Oryzias latipes: one gene and its partner. Each later gene encodes a partner of the first gene's protein in a complex. Links are inferred from orthologs where the notes say so. Each region holds a gene or a part of one and is shown in the gene's direction. Other genes may lie near its edges.

The links. Proteins that work in one complex are often made in the same cells at the same time.
Region 2: voltage-dependent L-type calcium channel subunit alpha-1C (region 1) and cacnb1 share a complex: the UniProt entries of both Homo sapiens proteins name them as parts of the calcium channel complex. The link is inferred for Oryzias latipes from reciprocal best matches to the Homo sapiens genes CACNA1C and CACNB1.

The regions. Positions count from the first base shown.
Region 1 is NC_019881.2:14,671,754-14,682,403, forward strand, and holds part of voltage-dependent L-type calcium channel subunit alpha-1C, read left to right. Parts: intron 1-1,581; coding exon 1,582-1,710; intron 1,711-1,836; coding exon 1,837-1,964; intron 1,965-2,041; coding exon 2,042-2,139; intron 2,140-2,762; coding exon 2,763-2,859; intron 2,860-2,977; coding exon 2,978-3,086; intron 3,087-3,160; coding exon 3,161-3,323; intron 3,324-3,410; coding exon 3,411-3,899; 3' UTR 3,900-10,650. UniProt on the Homo sapiens protein: Pore-forming, alpha-1C subunit of the voltage-gated calcium channel that gives rise to L-type calcium currents. Mediates influx of calcium ions into the cytoplasm, and thereby triggers calcium release from the sarcoplasm.
Region 2 is NC_019866.2:5,369,844-5,380,493, reverse strand, and holds part of cacnb1 (voltage-dependent L-type calcium channel subunit beta-1), read left to right. Parts: intron 1-1,473; coding exon 1,474-1,634; intron 1,635-2,049; coding exon of another isoform or gene 2,050-2,078; intron 2,079-4,243; coding exon 4,244-4,324; intron 4,325-6,400; coding exon 6,401-6,459; intron 6,460-6,544; coding exon 6,545-6,654; intron 6,655-7,283; coding exon 7,284-7,292; intron 7,293-9,090; coding exon 9,091-9,242; intron 9,243-10,579; coding exon 10,580-10,650. UniProt on the Homo sapiens protein: Regulatory subunit of L-type calcium channels. Regulates the activity of L-type calcium channels that contain CACNA1A as pore-forming subunit.

The DNA.
Region 1 (10,650 bases):
ACAAAATGCTTTAGTTGCTATAGTAAAAGTGCTGCTACTTTAAAGATTAGCCAGCTAAGCTGCAGATAGACTGTTTGGTGTCACATGGCCAAACCTCTCCTATCTACCTTGTGTTGCTGCTCTATTATTGCACACTGTGGCAGGTCTGGGTTAGACTCTGTTTTAGCTCCTTTTTCTTCATCTATGCAAACATCTGAAAGCTGATACTCATCTTGTTTTTAGACCATTAAAAAAATAAAGTTATTCATTAGTTCAAAATGTTACAATACAATGAGATCAGTCTATATTTTTGTAAAAGCTACTTATGTGCTTTTGAGTTATTGCTTTATATTTGTCTCAACTGACAGTTTGAATTCCACGACTCAAATTTTTTCAAAATTTCATGAACTAATCTACTTTAAATACAGATTTTTTTATTAACTAGCTCATTTGTTTTGAACAACTATGAGTTTTTGAACGAATGGTAAAATACAAATGTTTCCATGTTGTTTAATTATGTTGTGTACATGTTTTTTGTGCTGTGAAGCTGCAGACCACAAATGAAATTAGGTGTTTTTAAGCCGTATGAGAAAGTATCAGCTTTCTGATGTTTTCGATTTGAGTAAACTCAGATTCGTGGAACTGAAATAGATTGAAGATCTGCTCTAACCCAGAATTTGCTGTAAAGCTCTATATCGCTGATAAAAAAAAGGGACAAAATGGCATTTAGACATTTTGTTTTTCTTTTCCTTACCACGCTGTTTTTACAGTTTGCGATTACTGGATCACATGCAATATTAGTTCTATATTTGATGATTCTCCTTAAAAAAAAAAACTTTAAAAAATAGTATAATAATTTATAAATAAAGGATTATTTAAGAAACGTGTTTGAATGGATTAAACAGCCTGGTGAAGAACTAAAGACCGAAATTCAAATGTCAGAACGGTTCCTTGAAGCTTGTGTGGAATATGAAATTGATGTAACTGATAAAAAGACATCTTTGAGATGCAGAATGGCAGATTTTGATTTTTAAAATAGGTTTGATAAACCAGATCAACCAATCTAATAGCCCTGGATTCTCTGGTATTTGTTTATTTAGTCTTTACCAACGTTAAGACAATTTTTCCTGCTAAAAATACATACATTCTGGCAAGAGTTTTTAATAAAGTTAAAGTTACCGTGAAGCCACTGGGTTATAGAAAGCCTCGTTCAAAAAGTTTGCCTTTTTTGTGTCTTTTTTCGGTTTTAAAGATGTCTTAACTTCAGTCTTGCGTCATTTCTCATGTTCCAAATGTTGCCTAAAATACTATTCACCATTTTGCTTCAACAAAACAGCTGCAAGCCTCCAACTGCTTCTCCTAAGACCTTTGCTTCAGCTCCTCTTTCTGGTTCATACATGCTTTGGTTAAATCTCTGTGGATTTCTGTCTCTTCCTCCTCAGCTCCTTGCTGACGTTGTATAGCTAATCAGCTGCTTTTTATCTGTGTCTGCATCTGTTTGTCTAATCGTACTGCCATCTGTGGTTTGTTTTTTTGTGATAATTGTGTGTTTTTTTTTGTTTGTCTGCTTGCTTGTCTGGTTGTATGCGTGTTTGTTTGTAGCTCCGACTCCAGTGACAGTCATCTGCCAATCATCCGGAGAGGGGAGGGGTCAACAGAGGAGACGTATGATGAGAGCTATGGTGACGACAGAGAGTACCACGAAGATGATCACTCGCTTTCGTCTGACATGTACTGCTGAAAATAAATTTAACAAAAAAAAAAGAACAACAACACAGTTTTGTTTTCATCTCAAAGTTTTAAACCCTTGCAAGGTTTGTTTGAATTTGTTTTGTGGATTTGTGTGCACTTTTTAAGGTTGGTGTATCATGATGACACATGCAGGCAGCTAACTCCCATGGAGGAAGCAGAAGAAGTAGAAGGAAGAAGAGGAAGTGGAGGGTGGCAGTCTCCACGAAGAGTCTTCCTCTGTCCAACCTCTCTGGGTGAGAAGACACACGTCAACAGTCGTTCCTTTCTTGTTTAGTTCTCTAGTTGTTTACACTTTTGTTCTGCGTGTCAGGACGGAGATCGTCCTTCCACCTGGAGTGTCTCCGGAGACAACCAAGGCCAGAAGTCTCTCAGAAGACGTCTGCACCTTTACATCTTGTACATCACCAGGTAGTAAAGAAAAAAAAAAATTCACATTGTATTGAAACTACAATTTAACCTCTTGAACTCTTGTGCTACGTTCAAACGGGGGGAACACACGCCCATGTTGTTCTGGACAAGCAGGGAGGGGCTTCTTCTTCTTCTATTTCTTTTTCTACTGTTTACTAGCGCTGGTCCAACACCTACAGTTGGGAGAGGCTTGGTGTGAAATATCGAAGCTGTGCAAACCTCACAAATTTTCTATTCGGATTTATGAAAGACTTGCTGTCATATAAACCGCTATTATTAATTTCTCCTCCATGATCAATTTTCAAACAGCTGGGGCTTGTGTTAATTAAAGGGGACATCATCCATACATCATTACCAAATCCGAGTCCCTGATTGGTCAAAGTTCAACCATGTTTAACTTTCAATGTGTGTTCAGTGGCCCCATGTTTTGTCTTCAAAATGTGCGTAGCTAAGCTTGATCACAAGAGTTTGAACGCAGGAGCCCTACAAATAAAACCTACAAATATACGCGTTTATCCAGACTTTTTACTGGAAGTAGCAGCTTGAATGCACATTCGAATGCATGTGAACATGTTTTTACATTTACTTTAACAACAACTTTTTAACGTTTTCTTCTCATTTAGGCTCTAGCAGTGGCCGGGTTGAGTCCTCAGCTGAGAAGGAGTCACTCACCCAACCTGTTTAGCCGGCTGTGCTCAACGCCTCCAGCCAGTCCTGCAGGTAAATCCAATTCTCCGCAAAAAAGTTGCTTTTCAGATAAGTTGAAAGAAAAAAGACAAAATTATCCTAATAAGTATCATAGTGTTGATCTGTTTGTAATGTCGTGTTTGCTTTTAAGCCCACTGCAGTGATGCCTCCTATCAGGGAGTTCCCTCTTTGAGGCTAGAGGGCTCCAACTCTCATGAAAAGCTCAATACCAGCTTGCCTTCTGTCAGCTGTGGGCCCTGGTGAGTATGAGTACCTTTAAATAGTGGTTTAAATGAAGACAGTTTGGTGTTATTGTGAAATACTTTGCTCTCAGGTACAGCGACAGTAACGGGAACAGCCGGGTACCCAGCCCCAGCCCCAGCGTGTCAGCGTCCAGTCAAAGAGCTCCACGGCCAGTGTCGCTCACCGTACCCTCACTTTTGGGGAAGGACTCCACTTCGCTGTCTCATGGGAGCGCGGGCAGTCTGGTAGAAGCGGTGAGTCTTAGTCGTTACTGCAAGTGTGTAGTTTCTAGAGAAAACTATTTTCACTGTTTCATGTTCATTTTTCTTCTGACTGTTAAGGTCCTGATATCAGAAGGTTTGGGCCATTTCGCCCAGGATCCTTCGTTCATTGAGGCAACCAAAGTCGAGTTGGCTGATGCCTGCGACATGACAATAGAGGAAATGGAACAGGCTGCCAACAACATTCTCAATGGCAAGAATGCCTCAAACCCCTCACCCAGCACCTCTTCCACCTCTCAGCACAGTCCAAACGGCAGCCTTCATCCCTTCCACACAACAGCAGCATCAACACAAAGGGACCGAGTGGCTGGCTTGACCTCTAGCGAAGATGGGGCAGAAGCTGCAGGAAACAGAATCTCCATACATGGGCCGTCCTCTATAGAGGAGCGGCAGGAGTTGCTAGCCACGGAAAGAGGCCAAGAAGAGGAGGAGGAAGAGGTGACGCGGAGGGAAAAGCACCATAGAAATTCTGCTGTCATTGCAGGAGCGCGACAGAGGGACAGTGGGCTTTTGGAGGACGAGGATATGGAATGTGTAACGAGTTTGTAGGGGTTGAGAGAGTTCATTGGGCAAATGGCCCCTCTGACATCATCAGAGAGCGACGGCGCCAGTGCTGTTCGGCAGCAGTGCTGCAGCTGGTTGTGTTTGTCCCTGCGCACTCACACATTGTCGCTCTGGACAAAGGCGACCAGTGATGCAACCTTGAACACATGACTTGTTGGTTTCTGAGCTAGTATGTATGTGAATATTTGTAGTAAATTATATGAGACTATATATTATCTGAGCGTATGGGAGTGTGAGTGTGACTTTCTCTATCTGTGTGTGTTTGTGTGTGTTCTCCACACGTGTCTGAGTGTGGCTCTGAAGTGCCTCACAGTTTTATCATGTCCTCAAAGTATGAAAAGCAGAAAAAGTAGGGAGAAGCAAAAAAGAGAAAAAACAGGACAAAATGAAAGAAAGAGAAGACAAAGACGGCAGGAAATCCTTTTATGGATTTTCTGAAAATGACCCAGTATGTTAATGTGTTCATGTCCTATGCTTACTGTGGTGGTGTGTCACTGTTGTTTGTCTGGCCGCCTTGACGCCAGCTAGGGGACAGCAGACCTGCGTGTTGAGGGATCAATCAAGGATCACAATCTGACCACGCCCGCTCTGGGTCAAAGGTCACCTCCTCATTCTTTGTTTAGCCAATAACAAAGCGCTGTATTGAGTACAACAGGGGCTGGGAAACCCCTGTTTGAAGTCTCATTTCTCCTCCTCTTCCAAAGCTACAGAACCTTGGAGCACAACCCTGCCAACCCAAAAATGGGATTAAGGTGTGCATCGCCCCAGTCACCGGGGGGGAAAGTATTTGAGGGATGGTCCCACAGGGCTGCTAGAAGGGGCCACAAGAAGAGAAAGATACTCCGCTCTACTGGATGTGTGCCAGCTCTTCTTTTTGCAAGCAAGAGAGAAATTCACCTCGTCTGTCACGGTACTTTAATCTGGCCTCAAACCCTCCACCGCATTCCCCCGTTTGGTCCCACCTTCTTGCTGCCCCAAACGGGAAATGAGAGGAGCATTTTGGTGGATAATTGGAAACAGTGAGCCCCCTTCTCTGCCTGATACCTCATCACCCCTCACTACCTTTCCTCGATACTTTTTCTATCATCTTTGCCTATTTTACCATTTCTGTAGTTTTTTTCTTTCTCTGCGCTTTGGGAGGCGTGTCTTTGTCAAGCAGGACTTAGATGGCGGGGTGGAAGAAAAGGAGGGAAGTGACTGTTTATAAAAACACTCCAGGCAAGTGGGGGGGGTCTATACTGGATCTGCCATCAATCAACCGTACTTCCTGCTCCAAGACCTGCCTCTTCCTCTCAGTTAGGAATCCTTCTGGATTTGCTGCCACACACTCCATGTGCAGACCAAGCCCACTATGTATTTAACCTTTTTATTATGTGCAAAACTGATTAGCCATGATTTTTTCTTTTTTAATACTCATGAACATCAGTGTTTTAATTTATCTTTGAGTCGTTTGCAAAATTGGGGTGCTGGTCTTATAAATGTATTTTTGCTTGGTTTATTTTTTAGGAGAATTTAAGAGGTTTAAAGTACAGAAGCAGGGCGTAGTGTCTGCGTGCAAGTCTATAAACTATATTTCTGTGTGCGGGTGTATGTCTGCATTTTAGTACAGGATGTTAGTGTGCACGAGTGTGGGAGATGTGTAACTATAGGAGAGAGGGGTCTCCTCTCTATCAGTATGCACCTTTTACAGATTGTATCTATTTATTTATTTATTTTTCCCAGAAGAGAAAAAAAATGTGAGAATGTGTGCGTGTTTGTGTATTCTAAAAAGCCGATTTTAAGCCTAGACAGTCATTTAAGGTAGCATTTTTAAAAAAGTACGTCGTTGTGTAGGGTGCGTGGGAGCGGAGCTGTCTTTGTGCGTATTAATGGGCCTCCATAACACAGGGTTACCATGGACAGGCATGCTTCCACTTTTACTTTTCAGCCAAGCTGCAGAGTGAGAGTCGCTCTGTCTTTGAACACTAGCCATCGGGTAACTTTTTCTTTACTGTCCCATTTAGACGTTTGGCGTAAGGTCTTTAGGGAGGTCATAAGGTTAGAGGCCTTTTGGCAATTGCTGCTTTTTCTGATGGATGGTTGCTCTGAATGACAGAAGCACCAAACTTCATACTGCCATAACAACCCTTTTGTCAAAGCACTGGGGCTTTATGTCCTAATTTGCTCAGCTGTAACACCCATATCATATATTATACTTTTTTAATGGAAGGTAACCACCCAAAAAAAATTATTAGGGCTTGTGTAGGGGTACTGTAAGACATCTGAATTACACACATTTGTCTATTAGATTAAAATAAACAATTTAATTTAGGAGTACCATTAGAAAGAGAATAACTCTCTGTGTCATTTCATTTATTTGTAAATCTGGTAGGAGTAAAATTATTGTAGAAAATATCATGTTTTTTTGCCTAAACTGCAAAATATCCAGTGAAAAAGTATCCAAAAAGACTTTTTTTTCTGCAGCTTGAATAAGCTGTAGATGTCTGGCTCAGATTTATCATCGTTTTTATTATATGTTTTTGCTATTCAGTCATAATTTGATTCACCTTAAATTAATTGACAGTCAGGTGTGTTTGCAAAAACATCACAAAGGACAGAATATTTTTTTGAATCCCTCTCTTAGCCGTAGTGATGTTCTTTATCTTTTTGAAAATAATGTAAAATTGTTAAAAGCCTTAATGCCCTCTAAAAATGATAGGTAGTTTGGAAAAATAAAGATCGGTTGCTGTGTGAAACATCAGCTTCAATCAGGAGAAATGTTTAAAAATATGTATTTTTTAGGCATTTAAACTCTCTTTTTTTCCTTTCAAGAAAAATCATTTCGATCATTAGAGCATCTTTCCCAATTCATGTCTCTCTGTTTTTTTTAGTTGACACGTGTAAACCGGAGCAGATTAGTGGCAGGAATGAGTATGCATAAACACACTGCCATACACTGCATCCTGTGCCAGACTTCTGTCATTTTTATGCAATCTAAATATTGATGTTTGGTTTATGTGGCAGAACTTGTTTTGAGGTGAAATTCCTATTATGACCCTTTAAAAGTAAAAGTCACCAAATTAGGATGTTTGACATTTTCAAAGACATTTTTAGTATTTCTTTGAGGCATTTTAAAATGTTGAAAAGCAAAAGTATGAGTTTTTGTCTTCCTAATCTACTTTCTATTACCAATCAGTGTTGAAAGACAAAAGGACCCTGCTCTTATCAATGAACTGTGATTGTTTTTGGTCAATAAAAAAGACTGAGTTTCTAAAGATTAATATAACAGACATTTGAAATGTAGTTTTTGTGTCCAAGCTGCTGCATTTTACCCCATAATGTAGCTCCAGTTGAATGTTAATCTCTGGATTAGATCAAAAATCATGAATGACTCGATTCTTGAACAAAAGCAAAGTTTCCAACAACAGAAAAAGACTTTAATTCTTAAAATCATTTTTTTAATTGTCATATAGTTATCCTCTGTTTTCTAGGATAGTGTTCATAGACAAAAACAAAGAAATTTCCTGCATTGTAAAAGATCCACACCAGGCTCACTGTGTGTAAATCAAATCTCTGATGGGTTAGTGAGACTCACAGACGCCCCCTGTGTGCCGTGGAGCAGCGCTGCTGCTTTTCTGTGCTTTGTGGGTCAGCATGAACTATGAAGTGTTGTGTTGCAGTACGATGCTTAAAGTGGGTGTACTCCTGCAACCCACAAGATATGCAAAAACAATGCAATAACTATGACTGTGTACACGGTTCCCGAAGTAAACACACTTGTGAAAAATGTCTAACAAGATCCGCATCATGAAGGTTTCTTTTGTTTGTTTGTTTGTTACATTTATAAGTGAACTCAGTGGTTTCCACACCTGACATACTTGAAATCAGGTACAGTACGTTACAGTGCAGTATAGTAAAATTGTATTTTATTCTCTTTCCCATGGCAGGGCGGGGTGTTGGTCAAAAACGTTTATTGAGACAATGATCTGAAACCAGCGTTTTGCTTGTGGATCATTGTATGGCGACCTGAGAGGTTTGTTTTTCCTGTCTCAACACTTTTTTGACTGCATCTTTTTCTTCTTATTCTTGGTTTTTAACGAGTTTATCTGTGTACCATCAGTGATGCATGAGGTTCCCACTTTCAGTCAGCTTTCCAATAAGGTTGAATATCATATCACATTATTACAGAGTAGCTTTTTCTATTTATTGTACATAGACTGACTGAAGTCGGTATCGCGAGATACATGTTTGAATTTAAAGAAGCAGAGGGGATTTTGCATATCTTGTGTTTTCTGGGCCCAGACATATCTGATTTTATTTAACCTTTAAAGGACAGATGCACAGCGATTGAAACTAGAGTAAGGTGTCATGAAAACCCACTTGTTTTTGATACAGTTATTGGAAATTAAAGCTATGTTTTTGCTGCAAAGTTGAGGATCTGGATTTATATTCTGTACTTTTTGGACATTTTTTCCCTCCTAGTCTCAGATAACCCTGCAGCCATTGTCATGGCATACCGTGCTTACTGGTCCTCTATGTAGTCTTCATCACTCTATATAAAACGTTTTGAGCTTTCTTCACACCTATACACGTACCCACTTTAAATCCATTTGAAACACAGGATGAGCATGTTTTTTGTTCATCCTGACAGTAACAGCTGATCAGATAATTAGCAGGACCTGCGAGGATGTTGCATTCAGCATGGATCCTGTTAATCAGCGTGCACCAAGCTGAGGCTCTGGAGCCATCAGAACACGTCCCCCTTTAGTCCTCCATGGTACTGCTGTTGTATTTGTGCGCACTTGTGCTGCTTCATACAGCTTCATCGAATGAAAGCGGTCACCATGCAGCCCAGATTTATTTGGGTTCCTCAAGTGAAGTGGGACAGAGCAGAGGCTTGTTGTTGAATCTGTTTGGTGGTCTTGTAAAGACTCGAGGGACAACTGTTTGAAAAGAGGATTTGAGGAGGAGGAGGGTGGCTGGAAGTTTGCTGATTTAAGATCTGACCTTTTGAATTGTGTTAAAGTAATGTCTCATGTGCATGGGTTTAGAGATGTAAAATATTGGTCCTATTTAACTGATGACATTTTGTCTCACCACTAGCCATTGATTGTATATTTTTCTATAATATATAAATTAAAAATATCTATAAACATACAATATTTAATCACCACAGTTTAGAATAAGGAACGGGCTGGACACTTTGATGGAAATGTAGTTAGGAAAATTTGGATTTCCATTATATTGAGAGTATTTTTAACCAAAAAGCGATGGAATATCCTCAGCAGGCTTTAGGACCTAGGAATTATCTTTTTTAGCTTTTGGAGTTTTGCATTCAAGAAAAATGTAAAAATCTAAAGGCTAATTTACTGATTGGATTTTAAAAATAAAGATCTGTCCATCATTTGTGCTTATTAGGAAATGTGATTTGCTGGACAATTTGAATCCACGCTGCAAATGGAGTTGAACAAGTCTGTGCTTGTGTTTTTTTATGTTTTGTGGAGAAAAGTCTTAAACTCATCAACCTACAAACAGCCTGTCCTCGTCTGGTCATCCTTCTACTGTAGCATTGAGAGTTGTGTCTCTCAGCTAGTCCGACATCAGCAAAATACTGCACACCTTTGAAAAATAAAAAACACACACACATTTTCCCAGCAACAAACCAAAAATTCCTCCTAAAGGACTGGATCTTTATTAGTTTTTAGTTATTCAAACAGTGTAGCTTTGTTTCGTTGTTTTTTTTATGTTTCTTACAAAATGGATTTGGAGGACTTGAACTACATCATGTGTAGGAAAAAGCCGCTCATCTGCTTTTTATACAGACGAGGAAGCAAAGACGTAGTTCATAGCACCTGGCCAGTTCTTTTTACATCCGTTTAAATATGAACTTATATTTTTAAAGATAAAAATCTAAAAGCATTTACACTTGTTTTCATATATGCAAAAGCGTGTTGGATTCAGCTTGTAAAGCACTTGCAGAGGAATTTCTAGAGCTGATGGTCATTTCCGCCGAGGTGACACGGCGCCACAAACATGAAGTGAGGAGATTTTGTGGAGAAAAGCTGCTTTATATCAATAAGATTTTAAACACTAATAAAAGTTCTAAACACATGCCATTTAGGGAGTGTGTGTTTAAGTTACAGATTTTAGTAGATTTGTAATTTTTTCCATTTAAACCTCCGTATGTGGATCTGTCAGGGCTGCAGAGAAGCATATCATAAATTCTTGTAAATCAAAGTTGTGATTATGACCAAAATATTTTAAGAGGACTATTTTAAATATATATTTTGTTATTTTTTTCTAGTAGGAATTACCCTAGCCTGTTGATGAGGGAATCTAAATGAAAGTTTGGTTCCCTGGACACTAAGACAATCCTCTTGGTTTGTCTGTACTGTCATTCTCAAGTCCAATGAAAGCTTTTGAACGATTACAGAGAGGAAATTGCAGAATATATTACTAGTATATACAATTTTATCAAGAAGGTATCTTATATTTTAGTTATCAATTCATAAAGAATATGTATTTAAATGGCAGTATGGTGCAGATTTAAATAAAAATCCCATTTCAGAGGCTATGTGAGGTTTTAAAAACCGACTAAAAAGGCTTCCAATGTAAGTTATGGTTAGAGATAAGTTTGTTTTAGCTAAAAAATCTTAGTTTGCTGCTTTTACAAGAGTTTTAGAGAAAGAAGTTCTTGAATTGCATGACAAAGGCAGCATTTTTCTCTGTTCAGCAGTGTATGATCACAGGAATTATG
Region 2 (10,650 bases), on another chromosome or scaffold:
CTTAACACACAACACATTAACTCACAACACAACACAATAACTCACAACACAACACATTAACTCACAACACAACACAATAACTCACAACACAACACATTAACTCACAACACAACACATTAACTCATGGCCCAGAAGGGTCACAACACAACACATTAACTTACCTCACAACACATTAACTCACAACAGAAGTAAAGCAGCAATTGAAGTGCTTTTATTCTGAAATTTCTACTGGGCTGAGCAGCTAACTACCTAACAGAAAGTAATGTCACAGTGAGCTGTGGAGGGAGCTGCACGCGCGCTCCTCTCCTCTCCTTTTTTCCGCTCCGTCCTCTCACACAAGCACGTGCAGTCCCCAACACACAAGCACACACAGGACGGAGCGGAAAAAAGGAGAGGAGAGGAGCGCGCGTGCAGCGACAGAGGGGGGTGTCAGAGCGGAGGGAGGAGTGTGCGTTCATATTGTGTGTGTTTAGAGGAAGGAGAACCGTAGTACAAAGTTTCTGGCAACACTGCTGCTAGCTTCTCTTGTAGCAATAACATGCTCCCTCCACAGCTCACTGTGACATTACTTTCTGTTAGGTAGTTAGTTGCTCAGCCCAGTAGAAATTTCAGAATAAAAGCACTTCAATTGCTGCTTTACTTCCGTTGTGAGTTAATGTGTTGTGAGGTAAGTTAATGTGTTGTGTTGTGACCCTTCGTGGCCATGAGTTAATGTGTTGTGTTGTGAGTTAATGTGTTGTGTTGTGAGTTATTGTTGTGTTGTGAGTTAATGTGTTGTGTTGTGAGTTATTGTGTTGTGTTGTGAGTTAATGTGTTGTGTTGTGAGTTATTGTGTTGTGTTGTGAGTTAATGTGTTGTGTTGTGAGTTAATGTGTTGTGTGTAAAGTTAGTGTGTTGTGTGTAAAGTTAGTGTGTTGTGTGTAAAGTTAGTGTGTTGTGTGTAAAGTTTGTGTGTTGTGTATAAAGTTAATGTGTTGTGTTGTGACCCTTCTGGGCCACCGTATATTTACTCCCCAATCAAAAATCTAATTAAACCCACAATATCCTGTAATTTTATGACGACAGCCCTTTCAGTCCACCAACACAATTCATCTTCGGTCACCTTTCCTGTAGTCTGCTTGCTTTGCTGCTGTTTTTTCACATCTATGCTTCAGGTTTGGTTGCTTTCACACTGAATTCACTTTGTTCCCTGCTGTTCTAGTCATTACACCCTCTGTCTGCACTTTACTTCCTGGTAATCATTGCTGTCCTTTTTATAAACTCTTGTCAGCTTTTGTTCCCAGTTTAAATCACACTTATCACATTTTTCGATCGCAGCCTGTGTCATCTCTTACCACCTCCAGTATTCCTCTCACCCTCTTTCTTCTACTTGTTCTTCACCCTTTTGTGTCTTTTTTTTTCCTGTTTTCTCTTCACCTCATCCTGTTTTTTCTCCTCCTTCTTTTCTGTTCTGTGCCTCCGCAAACCCATCAGCTCACGTGGATATTTCCACGATGCCCTTTGACGCTGACCCCCTCGACCTGGAAGCCGAGGAGCCCCCTGAGTCCCAGGGAGAGCCTCGCTCCTCCAAGGGCATGTCGGGGAGCGTAACGTCCCCTCAGGCCAACGCCCACCGACTGCCCTTCTTTAAGAAGGTAACATTAGGGGTCCCAAGATGCCTTGCTTCCCTCTGCAGCATCCCTGCTCCTCAACCCCGCACTCACCTTTTTGAATACGGTCCTTCAAGCTTCCTATAAACTCCCTTCGCCACTGCACTTACATCCACTTTACCACCCAAATCTACCCCTACTTGGCTCCTCAAGCTCTGACCGTGATGGCCATGGCGGGATATGTTTGTGTGCTGGGAGAGGATTGAACTAACAAACGCTGACATGGCTGCTCCTCCTCAAAATCCTCCTCTTTTAACCTCACCACTGCAGGCAGGCAGTGTAACCTTTAATCAATAAACAGCTTTTCTCTCGATGTCTGCTCTAATCCTAACAAGTCTATAACTAAATGTGGTCTTGTGTTTTCTGCCTCTTCCTGCTATTACCTGGAATGATACTGTAGGGGGTCCAGCTAAACAGAAACAGAAGTCGGTGAGTGTGGTCTGCTCCCAAACTAACCCCCTGCTATAGTTGTTACCGCTTTGTATTGTCTTGTGTTGTTCAGTATGTGATCGCTTTTAGCTTTTTGTGCTTAAAAAAAAATTGAAGCTGAATTGAACTGTCAGAGTAAAACGTGTAAATGGTATTGATGATTCTGTCAATTCCACTCAATCTGGATCCCAGCTGTCAGGATACAGGTGCAGATCCGCCCCAATTAGTCAGTCTGACTGTCTTTCAGTTTTGCTTTTGGCTCTTCATTTACAAATTGACATGCCTTTCACAACAATTTATATTTGGATCTCGCATTATACGTGCAGGAGAAAAAAAACACCAATTTACAGTATTTTCACAGCAAGTCATTTATCCAGGTTAGGGTAACTATTCAAACTGTAATGCTTACATTGTAGGATTTTTTTTTACTAATGAAGATCCAATTGAAAGACCCACACTGAAAATGGGGTTTTTAACATGTTCTTGTGGCATTTTTCTGATGATAAAGGACATATATGGACATATATAAAGAAAATTGAGCATAAAATTGCAGTATTTCTTTATTTTAATTGTTAGGAATCAGGAGCAGATGAAAAAAATAAATAAAAAAATGCAGTTTGGAAAAGAGGTTTTTGTGATTAGAAGATACGCTTGGCAGGCTACAAGCTTCTCGCTCCGCAACAGACAAGGGAAGAGGGGCGGGGTTGCTTGCAACGGTCCCGGCCACAATTAAGAGGTGCACTTCTGATGAATTACTGCCACTCTGCAGAAATTATGTCCTACAAAACAACTGTTTTTTGTTTGTTTTTTAGCTAAAAACAGGATAATCATGAAAAAAAAAACAATTGGAAAACCAGGACTGGATCAAAAGATAAATGGAGTGGGTCTTTCATGTTTAATTCTGTATATATAAAGCCTCCAAATGACATGCATGTTACACCACCATTCTGTCATTGAGAGGTTCACAGAAAAAGGAAAAAAACTGTTTTTTGGAAAAAACAGAATGTAATTCTATTCTACCAGTTAAGCAAAATGAAACCAATCCCATAAAAATATATTTTTACATTTTGTAGAAGATTTTATTTTTGTGTCTTTGCTCTATAAATATAACACTTAATTTTTTGAAGTGATTCTTGCCTTCATCTGTGTAACGCCACATTAAACTGCTCTGTTCTCACGCAGTTCAGAGAACCGGATTGCACTGTTATGTTCGGTGCGCCAGCTTTGACCCTTGCATTGACAGGAGCCAGTTGGATGCTTTTAGACTATTTATTTATAGCTCCAGTGAGTACAAAAGAGGTGAAATGAGCTTCCGCCGCTGCATTTTATGTTGAGGAGCAGGTCCAGAACTTTTCTGCCGCTCAAAGCGAATCTGTGGAACGTGTGACAATTCTCCATCTGAAAACAGCTGCTAAAGCAGGCTGATGCGTATGGATCTCATATGGATGAATCACTCCTGTTAGGATTCACAGTCTATGGGTTCACATGCTGCAGTGTGGATTATGTTTGTGTGTAGGTGATGAGTAGAAAATATTACAGAATGGTTCACTTTTCATGTAAATGGTGGAAGCGGCTTGCATGTTAAATCCACTTCAGAATTCTATATTTAGTGGTGTTGGTGCAGTATTTTGCTCACAGAAAGTAAAGAATATTATTTGGCATTTACACCGACTGATACATTTGAAATCCTTTAAATCCTTTTTTTTTTTTTTTTTTTTAGTAAAAAATCAAGTTTTGACGATTTTCCTTGCAATATTTTGGCGGTTTCTTCTGATTTATACCAAGAAAGGAAGACAGCATTTGCTTTAGACGTTGTGGGACAGCCACGAGAGCTTTCTTGACACCTTTGCGTCTGGTTTAATTATGGGCACTTTAATTATGTGAGACTGCAGACAAAGAAATTGAGGCCAGTGCTCTCCGTTTAAAATTGATCCCCGGCTGTGAGCTCTCATAGGCACTCAATAAAAGGAAAATGGACTCCAGCATCTTAAAGTTGCCATCCATCAATCTGACCTCTTGCATCAGAGAGTGACAACCGGGATTTATGCATGAGTGTAACTGACTGCTGATCAGTGTGAGCTTTGTGTAGCTGTGCAGAGTGTATGTGCAAACATGGCACGGTGACATGACTCGCCCTGATTCCTGTGCTTTCTGTCCTGGCTCAGATGGAACACGTCCCTCCCTACGATGTGGTTCCCTCCATGAGACCCATCATTCTGGTGGGACCGTCTCTCAAAGGCTATGAGGTCAGACACACATTATGATGACAAACACAAAAAACTCTAAATTATTGTAAAAATCTAAACTAAACAATTACTTTAAAAAAATATGAATAAAGCTCCAAGTTGTCTACAAACATGTTAGTTTTATGGTAACATTTATACTGAATTACACGACTCGCAATAAGTAAGGGATATTGTTATTTGCATGAGTTCTTATCGCATTTAGTTTAAGTTTTAATGAAATGCGTTAAAGTTCCCTTTGATATTTCTAATAATGCAGGAAAATAAACACTATTTTGATTAGTTTGATATGAATTGACAGCGACGTTCTGCCCCCTCTAGTCTCATGATGTTGTTCTGAGGCGTTCCACTCTTCCACAAGTGCCACATGCAGTGTTGCCAGATCACTTGGGGGGGGGGGGGGGGGGGGGGGGGTAACCATCATCCAGTCTCTGCTTCAGCTGGTCCCAGACGTACTCTATGGGGTTCAGCTCAGGGGTAATTGCTAACCGCATCATATGAGGCACTCCGACTTCCTGAAGTCCAGCTGTAACAATTCTGGCACCATGTGGTGGAGTGTTATCATCCATGAACAGAAAGTTGGGGGTGTCCTGGGGGAATTGGGGGATGATGGTGGTTCTATGATGTCTCTGAGGTAGGAGCGTGCAGTGACTGAACCATCTCCAACTGGTGATGCCTGCCCAGAATGTTGCTCCTCCTCCACCAAAGCTCACCTTCTCTAACAATGCTGACGACCATCATTTCTGGGTAGGGTGACCCCAAACTCATCAGTGAACATGATGGAAGACCATTGCTGCATTGTCCAGGTCACATGGTCTTGTGTCCGCTGCAAACTTACACGGCCCTGTCTTGCTGTCAGTGGAGTCACCTGCAATGGTTGTCTGGCATTTGTGAGGAAGGCTTATCGGGATTATCTCCATGAGACTCAGTAGAATGGATCCCACAGATATATCCTCCAGGGTGGCCCCCCAGGGTGGCTTCAGGCCAATGTCTGGCCTCCATTGGAGACTATTGGAGAAACCTCCAATAGTCCTTAATACGTCAAATGGTCGTCTTCACCAAATCTACGTTTTTAGTGGTCTGTGTCGGTGCCCTCTGCTCCTGCCAGTAAGATCATGTATACCTAACTGGTTTTAACTGGCTTGCATTTCCTTAGGATTCCATAAGTGGGTTAATGTAAGCAAAATGTACTAATCAATGAGTTATTAATTGCATAAAAGTAAAAAAAAGCTTTCATTTAGGATGGCAAACCCTTTACATTCCAGTCAAAGCAGTGGAGTTGGTTGTGAATGTTCCAGAAACTCTGGTACCCCTCACATCTGGTAAACGGGCCAGCAACTGCGTGGTGTTTCTGTGTGCAGAACATGGCTGTGTTTTTTCACAAACTCTGCCAGTAGTTCCGAGTCTTGATGGAAGTCTGCTGATGACACTTGAAGACAAGGTCACCTGACTTCACATCTGACTGCATGCTGTACCAACCTGAAGGCGCGCCATCGCCAGATAGATGGTGCTGCTCATCCATTAAGCGATGCTCATGGCTGTTTGAATGATGATGATGGAATGACTTACTGGTAAAATCAGCTTTTTACATCCCTAGAATGCTGAAATTGATGCCACATTGAAAAGGATTTTCTTTTAGAATTTTTGTTGTTTTGCTTTTAAGTAAGACAATGAACACAGTCAGGTCATTATGTGAAAAAAAACCCTAAATAAAGTGTTCACCACTCCAATACAATTGCCTCCGTATCCTGAAAATCTGTAAAGTGAAACACTTTTTACAACATCCTCTAAGTTTTTCACAGTATCCCTTACTTATCGTGAGTGCCGGGTATATTTACACTTTATTCAATTTGTGTTTTTGCTTTTTAGGAGAAACCTATCTTTTAAAATAGACATAGCTGAGTCAGAAAATTATTTGCTGATTTAAGATTATTGCATAAATAAGTGTTTATAGTGAAAGAAATATGTGAAAAACTATTTTTTTTCTAAAAAACATATTAAAAAAAAATTTTTATTGCTTTTTAATGAACCTAACTACACTAATGGCTGTCTGTTTTTGAATGTTTTGTTATCCAATAGGTGACAGACATGATGCAGAAAGCTCTCTTTGATTTTCTGAAACACAAGTTTGAAGGAAGGTAAAAGAAAAAAAAAAAGGCTTCAACAATGCATGACCTGTAATGTTATACGTTTATCCTGTAAAGTGCTGGATCTCTGTTTCAGAATATCCATCACGCGGGTGACAGCAGACATCTCTCTGGCCAAACGTTCAGTCCTGAACAACCCCAGCAAACACACCATCATCGAGCGCTCCAGCACTCGCTCCAGCCTGGGTAAGAAACCTCGCTTCGGTGACCAGACGTCTTCTGGCAGTGAAAACTTTTATAAAATGAAACTCTGGAAAATTAAAGATGTTTGTTCATTGTGTCGTGTTGCTGAACATCTTTTCCTGTCTCTTCCATATCCCTGTTTCTTTAGGTACACTTTTTTTTAAAGTATAAGACTCCAAACAGCTTATTCAAATAGCAAGAAAGACATTTTTTATGTGTTTCTGATTCTCACAAACCAACTTCAGCACAAATCTACATTTATTATTTTGGCTTTTGTAGCTGCATCTTGCAGTTTGACTTGATTGCTCAGGCACAGGGGAATTTGTGATTAAAAATTGGAGAAATTAGAACATTTTGGGAGGAGCTGATGTTAGATCAACATGCCAAAAAGGGATTCTTCGGAGCCTTGAATCCAACTTGTTATAACTCATCTAAGGACCTAGCCATAATAGGGTAGACACAGCATAGGATGTACCTCATCAAAAGACCTGTAAGCTTTTACAACTCCTCTGATCGAGTCTGATTTAGGCCTTTTCTCTCTTTTCATCTTGTCTCTTGTGCCCTTCAACCATCCTCCTTACTCTGCCAAACCTTTCCTCTTCCTCCTCCTCCTTCTCTGTCTTGTGATTCAGACGTACTGGGTATGTATGCTCTCCGTGCAATGAAACAATGCAGCTTCTCTCCCTCTTCTTTTCGCTTTTCCCCCCCTAACTATATTCATCATGTACTCATACATTGTTTGTCTGTTTGCCTGTCAGTTTCTCTGTTCCTCATACCTCAGAGTGACAGCCTGCAGTCTGGAACAAAAAGGAAAGAATTACGAAACCCGCGCAGGCAGAGATCTGTGGGCGACTGCTTGCTGCTGTTCAAACCACATATTGCAATTACCCCTAAAAGTAGTCTGGATACAGTACGTCTTTAGTAAGACTCTTGAATGGCCCCTATACGAGCTGGACTTTACCTTTTATATACTGTTAAAACTTGAGTTATTGCAGTTGTTATCCATATTTACTTACCTTAAAAGTTCCCATTTCTTGTCACTTGGACTGACTGACTGGACAGCTTTAATTTGGAGTCCTCCTGGAGGCTTCTGAAATATGGGGCCCCTGTCGATTAAACGGCCTGTTATCTGTCATCACTGCTGAGTTGGCACAACTTTGGAGGTGCTGATGTTTGACCCCCAGGGCAAGGGGCACTCTGGCTGTCAGTTTAACCCTGGCTGTAGACATCGACATCCAGAATCAGAACCGGAAGTCTGCCCCATATCGCTCGAAAAAAAACTGGCAAACCCTGCCAGTTCCAGTTTGGTAATGCTTTATAATAATCATCTATTATAAATCATTATAAATCATCTATTATAAATCATGAATAAACTGTTAGTTAATGGGTTATAAATAACAGTCATCAGTGTATCAATGTTGGAAATGTCCCTCCTTTCTTAACGGTTAATAAATGAGGAATGTTTTCCACTTTGAAACAACATCCCAGTAACAGATAAGCCATTACCTAATACTTAACAAATCGTTGTCGAGAAATTTATTAAATGCTTGTTCATGATCAATTTTTAGTTATAAAGGCACATTTATAGATCCTTAACAAAGTTATTTATAACTCGTTAACTTACAGTTTTGTTAATAATTTACCAAGCTATAACCCATAGTTATTATAAAGTTTTACCTAGAATATTTCCAGTTTTAAGCTGTAATGCATGTTATTTTTACAATTCTGATCACTTCTGGGTTAAGGTTAAGGTAAGTTGTATGTTTTCCACTTCCGGCAGATGATGTCAGGCGCCATTTTTTTCCCTCTCGATGAATGTTGGAACTACGCTTGAAATGCAAAAGCTCTGGTTGGCTGTGGCTGAGGAACAATGAAAACAAAAAGTCCTCCGTCTAGAATGGCTATCCTGATGCAATAATTTTGCTGTGCCTATTTGTGCTAACAAAAAAACGTTTTCTCCCCCCATGCTGTATGTTTTTTTTATCTGTATTTTGTTTGTTTCTGTTTTGGTTACATGGTGAAGAATTGTGCCCTCATTGTAAGCTATTTCAAGTACCACAGGCATCTCATTTCTAAGTGCCTCCTTCCTTTACAACCTCAAATTAGAAATGATCAGAAGCACTTAAGAGAATCTGAAATGTCTGGAGGTGGCAACTGAATGAAGATGCTCCAGTGCTCCATTTAGCTCTGAATAAATGGAACTTAAAACTGTGGTCCAACCTGATTTACATCCTTGAAAGCTTGTGGGCTTTTGTCATTGTTTTTAAAAAAAATCCAAACGTGCACGGTGAGGAACTAACATGTTCGTTTAATAACTATGCAGAAAGTAAGAGAATTTAACTGCTGTTCAAAGCTGCATCTCCTTAAAGATAAAAGCAGCCTGCTTTTTAATAACTTTTTGTTTGTTTATTTATTTGTGTCTCTTTCCTGTGCTGTCAGCTGAGGTGCAGAGTGAGATTGAGCGCATCTTCGAGCTGGCCCGAACCCTGCAGCTCGTTGCTTTGGATGCAGACACCATCAACCACCCCACTCAGCTGGCAAAGACCTCTCTGGCTCCCATCATCGTCTATATCAAAATAGCATCTCCCAAGGTAAACCTTCATGTCTGGTATTAATTTGTAGGGATGGGTACCATTTGGAATTTCATCTGGTGCCAAACTGGTGCTGTTGAAATTGTTCCGGTGCTCAAACGAGAGCTTCAAGAATGGGGATAAAAAACACCCAAAACAAATTTACATATGATGAAGCAGCGTCACGGGTTGAAGAAGAGCACTTGAGTTTGCCTAATATGCTTTATTTCATTCTTTCTGACAGTGTGTACTGCAGCCCTGTATTTGTTTTCACACACGGCAAAGTAAAAATGTATTTTATTATTTTTTTTTTTGTACTTCGAGTGGATTTTTTTTTTAATAAACTTTATTATTCAACACAAACGGAACAAATATGTATGACAGGAACAATAGTCATAACAACAACAATGTCAGGGGATGGTACATGTATTACAAAAAGATTACAAATGCTATGCATTGAAAATATTCAGAGACAGACAGTTTTCATAAATATGTACGGCCTTTTTGTTTAAACTATTAGAAATAGTATGTAAATAAGATTCTAATTCTTTAATTATTAAAGGGAAAAAAAGTTGTGATGAAGAAAACTTTGATTTATGAATATGAAATTTACCAAATATTATAATTAGATTAATTGCCAATTTTACGTTTGATCTTATATTTTTTTCGTGTAGGACAAATATGATATGTTCAAATTTCATCTGATGTTGTGAATCTAAATTATAATTTATAAAACATGCACAATCTTTCCAAAGTTTTTTAGTAGTATTACAATTCCAAAATAGGTGACTGATTGTTTCTGGGTGTTCTTTACAAAAGGTACAGTTGGGGTCAATAGTCTTCTTATATCTGATCATGTATTGATTAGTGGGATAGATTCTATGTAGGAGTTTGTAGGAGACGTCTCTCATCTTGTTATTAATTAATAATTTCTGATGCAGGGTCCAAACATTTTTCCACGGCAAGTCAGGAATAAATTTTCTCCAATAAAAAACAGCAGAGGGAACAGAAATTACATTTTGCTGAAACAGGGCACGTATGATCTTGTTATTTTTTCGAGCACAGTTGAAACAAGATTTTCCAATAGTGGTGTCACTTAGAGATATGAAGGGAATATTTGCATCAAGTACAGTATTTTTAAAGAGTTCACAGAGTAAAAATGTATTTTAGCACTCATCGCCACAACGTTGTATGCATCACGCTCATCCATCAGGTTGCTGAATTAGAATCTTACGGACAAACTTTTGCTGGAACGCTTCACCTACCCCAATGGCCACGCCCCATTCTTAAATGAGCTTGGCTTCAAGCTCCTGTTTTTATGCGGTACTATTTGAGTTGTTGCTGTTGACTCGCTGCAGGTTCTCCAGAGGCTCATTAAATCCAGAGGAAAGTCTCAGGCGAAACATCTAAACGTTCAGATGGTTGCAGC